Xenopus tropicalis: one gene and its partner. The protein of the gene in region 1 purifies or fractionates together with the protein of each later gene. This does not show direct contact. Links are inferred from orthologs where the notes say so. Each region holds a gene or a part of one and is shown on either strand. Other genes may lie near its edges.

Evidence for each region. The genes of interacting proteins can lie anywhere in the genome.
Region 2: the proteins of mapk7 (region 1) and pfdn1 purify together in Homo sapiens (affinity purification with mass spectrometry; 3 studies listed by BioGRID and IntAct, with this or other methods). This does not show direct contact. The link is inferred for Xenopus tropicalis from reciprocal best matches to the Homo sapiens genes MAPK7 and PFDN1.

Annotation. Positions count from the first base shown.
Region 1 is NC_030685.2:7,130,149-7,133,901, reverse strand, and holds the start of mapk7 (mitogen-activated protein kinase 7), read left to right. Parts: upstream 1-1,388; 5' UTR 1,389-1,594; intron 1,595-1,927; exon of another isoform or gene 1,928-2,170; intron 2,171-2,443; exon of another isoform or gene 2,444-2,701; intron 2,702-3,753. UniProt on the Homo sapiens protein: Plays a role in various cellular processes such as proliferation, differentiation and cell survival. The upstream activator of MAPK7 is the MAPK kinase MAP2K5.
Region 2 is NC_030679.2:31,788,374-31,792,126, reverse strand, and holds the start of pfdn1 (prefoldin subunit 1), read right to left. Parts: upstream 2,629-3,753; 5' UTR 2,532-2,628; coding exon 2,499-2,531; intron 1,270-2,498; coding exon 1,103-1,269; intron 1-1,102. UniProt on the Homo sapiens protein: Binds specifically to cytosolic chaperonin (c-CPN) and transfers target proteins to it. Binds to nascent polypeptide chain and promotes folding in an environment in which there are many competing pathways for nonnative proteins.

The DNA.
Region 1 (3,753 bases):
AGCCGGGCCTCCAGCGGGGCGAGTGCTGAGATGAGTTCATCCTGGGGGGCAAATAAAGGAGGTTAGTGGAGTGTGAGTAGGGTAACTGAGGGCAGTATATGACCCCATAGCTCTATGTTTAGTTACATACCTTGTAGCCCCCCACTGCCTCCTGTAGGGGCACGAGCGTATGAGGGGGGTGCTGTTCGGTGCCATCCCTGCAGGAGGGGCACATCAGCCTCCCATCCTGGGTGGAGAATAAATGCAGCTTCTCCCCGTGTTCCGCACAGGCGCCCCGCTGCACTCCGTCGGGGGTGGGCACAGAAGGGGGCCGGCACTTGGGGCAGGTAGGGTAGGCCTCTTGCCCCCTCCATGCCCGCTCCAAGCATCCCCGGCACAGGCAGTGGCCGCAGCTTAGGGTGACCGGCTCCCGGGGCACATCGTGGCACAGAATGCAGCTGAGAGAGGGCAGCAGGGGCAGTGGGACTGGGCTAGAGGCCATGGCGGGCACCTGTCTGTCTCGCCTGTTAGTGCCAATCAGATGCCAACTGCTGTCTCGCTTGCCTCAGTCACAGCCCTGGGCCCTTACCCATAAACCACGCCTGTGGCGCTGTGCCTGTGTGTGGAACCTCTCACTAACCTCACCTGTTTGTGCCACTTCTGTGCCCGCCTCGCCCGACGCCCAAACCTCTCTCTGACCCCCAAACTGTCTCCTAGTTCCTATTGTTCATTCCCGCTACAAGGCGGTCACTTTTTCACCTGATCTTTCTTTCCTATTTACCCCAAATGTGCCAACTGTCTCTTCCTGACCAATATTTCTACTCCAGAGCAGTCTCTTTTTTTGCCTGTTTAGCTCAGTCTAACCCTAGGCTGTCTCTTTAAATCTGATTGGTCACTGATCCTTCTCACCAACCCCAAGCTGTCTCTTCCTGCCTATGGGTAATGTATGTGACCTCAGGCTGTCTCTTACTGTCTCTTTGACCTCAGTGAATGGCTTCCCCTGCCCACACCCTTTTTCCTCTCCACTCCCTGAATGTCTCTTACACCCCAGGCATCCAGGCCAGGCCTTGGAGCTGTGCAGTCTCTCTATTGTTCCCCTGGCTGTCTCTTGCCCCTTCTGCCACTTCCTGGCTGTCTCTATTTCCCTCTCTCCTCCCTGCCTGTCTCTCTCATGCGTCTGTCTCTCCAAGCTGCATGAGGAGTGGGGGAGGGAGAACACAGGAGAATGGGGGAGGGAGCCGAGGAAGAGGAGGAGGGGGGGGCAGGGGGAACGATGTGAATGAGAGGGGGGAGGAAGGGGGGATGACAGAAAGAAAAGGGGCGGAAGGGAGAGAAAGAATGGCCAGGGGGGGGGATAGGAGGGAGGGGAATGGCGAGGGGGAGGGAGCAGGGAAGGGAGAGGAGGGGGCAGCAGTTAGACGGGAGGGGGCTGGGAAATCTCTGCTGCTGAACTGCAGCACTCAGGCCCTTTATCTACTGATACTCCCAGCACAGGATACAGCATTGCTCTGGGCCTCTGAGGTGACAGCCAATCAGCGAGCCGCACTGAGGCATTCAGCTCGGATTTAAAGGGGACGAGGCTGACAAAGGGCGGGAAACTGCATTGGCTTCGGCGGTGCGTCCGGCAGTGAGAGGGTTACCTGTCCGGGGATGGGAGGAGCTGCAGTGGGAGGGGCGGGGAAGGGAGGAGCTGCAGTGGGAGGGGCGGGGAAGGGAGGAGCTGCAGTGGGAGGGGCAGGGAAGGGGGCGCTGGGCTGCTGGGAAATGGGAAAAGGGGGAGGAATGGGTAGGGGAGGAGGGAGCCCCCCGGGGAGTGGCACCCAGGGAAGGAGTCAGGGTGATATAATACTGTGGCATCATTATTGTAGCCTTCCTAATAGCCTCAATGTGATTGGTGCGGGGCCCCCGGATAGTACGTGAGGCCCCCGGATAGTACGTAAAGCCTTAAGTGATTTGGTTAAAGCGGAGTGAGGGCGGGGCTGCAGCTGTACGTGATTTATCCATATTTACCCACAGCCAGTGTAACAAATGGGCAGAGTAAGGGCACAGGGACCTCACTCACCCATTGGCCAGATGGCTATCATGTGACCTGCTGGGAAGGCTAGTGCCGGGCATTCCTGTCACACTGGGTATGTGAGGGCCCCATAGTGATGTGAGGGCTTCCCCGGAGCGCCGAGGGAATGGGGATGAGGTGATTCCATGAGAAACTTGTACTTTAATGAATGCGCTAATTAGTCACTGAGGAACAGCGGGCTTTGCCCCTCCCACTTTGTGCCTTACGCTCCGCCGTCACCGCTTCCAACGCAAGTTACGCAAGCTTCCAGGCAATTGGCGTATATTTCACCGTTGCTGTTTAATGCGTCTTCACGCAATTTACGTAACTTTGCGCTAGGCGTCCGGTCCCGCTTCTGATCAGTATTTCATCGCCCCGGGCCAACAGCGCCCATCTCTCTTGTGAGAGTAAGCAGTGAGGGGAATTACACAGGGGCGGGGTTAAATCACTAGCCCTCTCTGTACTTCCTCTATGGGTTACTGAACGTAATCTCCTGTTGCTAGGCAACAGAGGACACTGGCGTCGGCCCGCCTCAGTTCGCAGCAGTTATCCCGCCCCGTTCCTATTGGCTGGCCGCTCCGCTCCCAGGCAGCGCAGGATTGGGCTGCACCTTCCCTACTCCTGAGACCCGTATTACATCCGGGGACCCCGCAGCGGGACAGGAACCAGGTAACCAGCCTTAAAGGGGCCGGTGTGTCACCTACTTCCGGGTTGGGCGATTATCCGGGGGCACTGTGCCTGGCAGGGCTGCGGGCTGAACACTGGAGCTGTCTGGCCTGTCTGTGGGCTGGGCGGGTCCCATCATAACCTGGGGCTGGGGGAATACTGGGCTGAACCATCTAATGCCAGGCTGAGGGGGTAATACTGGGCTGAACCATCTAATGCCAGGCTGGGGGAATACTGGGCTGAACCATCTAATGCCAGGCTGGGGGGGTAATACTGGGCTGAACCATCTAATGCCAGGCTGGGGGAATACTGGGCTGAACCATCTAATGCCAGGCTGGGGGGGTAATACTGGGCTGAACCATCTAATGCCAGACTGGGGCTGGGGCAATACTGGGCTGAACCATGTAATGCCAGGCTGAGGGGGGAATACTGGGCTGAACCATGTAATGCCAGGCTGAGGGGGGAATACTGGGCTGAACCATGTAATGCCAGGCTGAGGGGGCAATACTGGGCTGAACCATCTAATGCCAGGCTGAGGGGGGAATACTGGGCTGAACCATCTAATGCCAGGCTGAGGGGGGAATACTGGGCTGAACCATGTAATGCCAGGCTGAGGGGGGGAATACTGGGCTGAACCATCTAATGCCAGGCTGAGGGGGTAATACTGGGCTGAACCATCTAATGCCAGGCTGGGGTAATACTGGGCTGAACCATCTAATGCCAGGCTGAGGGGGGAATACTGGGCTGAACCATCTAATGCCAGGCTGAGGGGGTAATACTGGGCTGAATCATCTAATGCCAGGCTGGGGGAATACTGGGCTGAACCATCTAATGCCAGGCTGAGGGGTTAATACTGGGCTGAACCATCTAATGCCAGGCTGAGGGGGTAATACTGGGCTGAATCATCTAATGCCAGGCTGGGGGAATACTGGGCTGAACCATCTAATGCCAGGCTGAGGGGGTAATACTGGGCTGAACCATGTAATGCCAGGCTGAGGGGGCAATACTGGGCTGAACCATGTAATGCCAGGCTGAGGGGGCAATACTGGGCTGAA
Region 2 (3,753 bases), on another chromosome or scaffold:
TGACTTCTGGCAGTTCTCCCAGTCAACTGGGGCCCGAAGTAAGGGGAAACAGACAAACAAAAGAGTTCTGTGCCCTAGGCTGGTGCTTGACTTAAATCTGCCTATGTATGGCCTATTCCAATGAAGTTGCTGTTCAGAACCCTCTGTAGAGGGCTATTGCACAAGTGCATTCAAGCGCATTCAACTAAATTTTAATATATATGGACTTCCCAGCTGCAGATAAGCATGTTCCCTGAGATCAATGGATTACCTAAACTATAAAGTTCCACTTATACTAGTGACTATAACGCCCTCCTAAATGTAGACTTTCTGTTCTAAAGGCATACGGAACATTTAAAGCATCTGAAATACTAATGCATTTTTTTTGGCCTTTAATGCTTTCCACCTTTAGAAATGTGTTAATATTGAATCATTCGCCTATGAATAAGTACTTTCTATTCTCCACAGCAATGGTTATGTAAGAAAACCAAAAAGTTCTTGGTTTTTAACAATAGCCAGTCTATAAATACAGTCATTGGCACAGTCAAATGGGGATTACATAGGAACACAGTTAACGATTTTCAGTATGTGCGTGGCAGCCTATATCCATGTACTTTGATTGGTTTGTCATTTGGGTGGGTATAAATATGTAACCTGCTAAGAACCCATTACAGCCTGTGTATGGAAGATGAGGAACTGTTCCCTTCATTCCCTATGAATACAAGGAACAACAGAAAGGCATCCATAGAGTATATGGTCCCTTGTATTTTTTCTGTCTTTTGGCCCTCGAAGGGATCGGTAGGTCTGTGCAGTGTCTGACTGGCCCACCAGGATACAAGGAAAACTCCCGGTGGCCCAAGTGTCAGTGGGCCCTCCTGCTCACCCAACCATTTGCCTTGTATGCGTATACCATGGCCATTACTCAATCCTATATGAAAAGAAACTGAAGAAATGGAGGAAAGGATAGATAATATTATGTAAAACTGCGTAATTAAGAGATTAAAGAAATTGAGTGAACAGAGAAGGGGAGAGTGGGCCGAAGGTCTACTTTTCTTTACAATTTACACTTAAAAAGACAAGTTAATGCATGACTGTATGATTAAAGCAAAACAGCATTACTTACATTCTTCCTACTCCTTCATACATAGGCGTTGAATCAGACAGGTTCATAATTTCTGCATTGGTAAGATATGCATGCTTCTTTGTTCTATTTAGCTGCTCAATTTGTAGATCTGCAAGTTTAACTTTCTGCTGGGTATCAATAACTTTGGCTTGAAGCTCTGTGAAAGCCTGCAATACAAAACATGGTTTTAAACAATTTGTATCTAAGTGCTGTCCTCGCTAATGCTTTCTAGCCACTGCCAATCTCTACATCTGAGTTTCACCCAAGATTGTGTAAGCAGGTAATATTTTTAATATTTTAGAAACTATCCAGTTTTTAAACTACTCTGCTTGTAAAAGTGCATCCTTTGCAAATGTCAGTCAAGCAGTCTCACATTACTCATAAACAGGCTGATATGTTGTCAACTTGGTCTGAATGGGCCCCTGTATGGCCCACTTGAGGGCCTATTTTTCTAAAAACCCAGCGAGAAGCTCAGTTAGAGAGAAATTTGGTGTGAAAATGGGTATTCCGGGAGCCCTTCCTGAATAGCTGATACAACATTTCCATACACCTTGTTATGAACTAACTGGGCTCCAAGGTGGGCTTGAACTGAAAAAGTCTGTCAAGCAAACCACAGATGTAGGACACAGGGGCATGTTTAGTAAGATTGGAGATAAATATCACTGGCTATGTTGCCCATAGCAACCAATCAGGAATTAGATTTGAACAGTCACCTACAAGTTAGAAATGAAAATCAAATATCTGATTGGTTGCTATGGGCAACATCACCAGTGATATTTATCTCCAATCTTACTAAACACTTAAGCCCCCAAATTTTAGGTGTAAGCAAAGATTTAACAGCAATGTTTTTGCGTTCTAAAGACTGTTTTAATTGCAAATAAACAATGCACTGGGAGATAGTGCCTTCCAAAAGGATGAATCTTACATTAATAGTAAATATACTTTATTAAATTTCCCTTCTTTATGTATTTGGAAAAAAACAAGTGTTCGTTTATAGAACTATGGGTTTATAGAGTGTGAGTATGTATGTATGTATGTATGTGTGTGTATGTATATGTATATGTATATGTATATATATGTATATATATATATATATATATATATATATATATATATATATATATATATATATATATATATATACACACACACAAATCAAATGATATCAAAATTCTTTACTACAAATACAGTTCCCTACTAGAAATACAAAAACGACTACATTCGCATTCCACCGAGCGTATGCACTAGCTGCCTGGCCGCACTCCAGCCAAAAGCACATTCATCCTGCAGGCACCGTGAATTCACCAGCATCTGAATTCTTATATAAACATACACTTACATGAAAACACGTACATGATAAAAATCATTAGTATAAATGAAATACAATTATTATTACCTTCTTCAGCTCTAGATCCACAGGGGTAGCCATATTAAAGCCGGGCACATGCGCAACGCGGCGGCGAGGAAACCATACGCTATACCGCCGTCATCGCAAGCAGCCTTGTGATTGGCTCTTGGTGCTTTACTGGCAATTCCAATTGGCAGCTGCTAAGGTGAAGCTGGGCGCATTGGTGGGCGTTCTTGGGAAACGCCCAGCGTATAGTTGCTGGAGGATTGGTTGAGTTGTGGCTTAGCAGCGAGAGCTCTTACTGTTTAAAGATATTTGAGCCATGGTTGCTAGTAGTTTGTTTTGCCACAGAAGTTATGTTTTGTGTAGAGTGAACCAAGGGTGTAACGTGTGATGTAACATATAAACAAATATGTGTGCGTGATTTACACACAACGTGTTAAACCGGCAGTGACACAGTGGCTGGGGAGTTATATGTAGAAATATATGGGGAAGGGTTGTAATTCGATTCGCACCCAATAGGATTGTTATGAGTTTCTAGACTGTTTATCCCATATGTTTCTGGAATCTTGAATTAGACTGTATTTTGTAAGCAGTTACAAACGCCATAAATTGAAATCATGGCTGAAAATGGGGCAACGTTAAAGAAATATTTCTTATTTTGGGAGATAGTTCTAAAAGCCCAGCCTGAAGGTGATCTTGCTCAGACAAGATCCCCTGTGCATGATTTAGCTCATGGGTGCATGGGCCATATTTATGTAGGGCAGCGCTAGGGGTGCCTATATTAAAAAGAAAAAAAGTGTAGCTGTATACGAGGGGGGCGAGGTCAGAAGTCTGGTGCTTACGGCTGCACTGGACAGCCCTAGCAGCTGGTAAAACACTAAAGATGACCACTGAATGGACTAACACAGGAATCACTTGTCAGTGCACTTGGGGGTTGACACCTGTCTAGTTTTGAACTAAACAGCCACTTTTTCCCTAGGGCCATAAACATAATTGGCACCCATGTAGGCCTCATCAACATGCCAGTGGGATTTTTAGGGCACTGCCACACAGCAGATTCTCGGCCTGCAAGTTAACTGCAGAATCTGCCCCATACAGCAGTGCCCTTAAACCAATTTCTTCTTGGCAGGGTACACAAATAATTTCTTTTGTGCACACTTTTTAACAAAGAAGTAGGGCTGAAATTTTGTGAATTATGTTATGGGTTTCTGTACCAGCCCAAGGCACAAACAGCCCTTTTGCAGGGAAGATCTGTGCCCCCAAAGATGCCCTCCAGTAGCCCCCCCCCCATCTTCTTTTC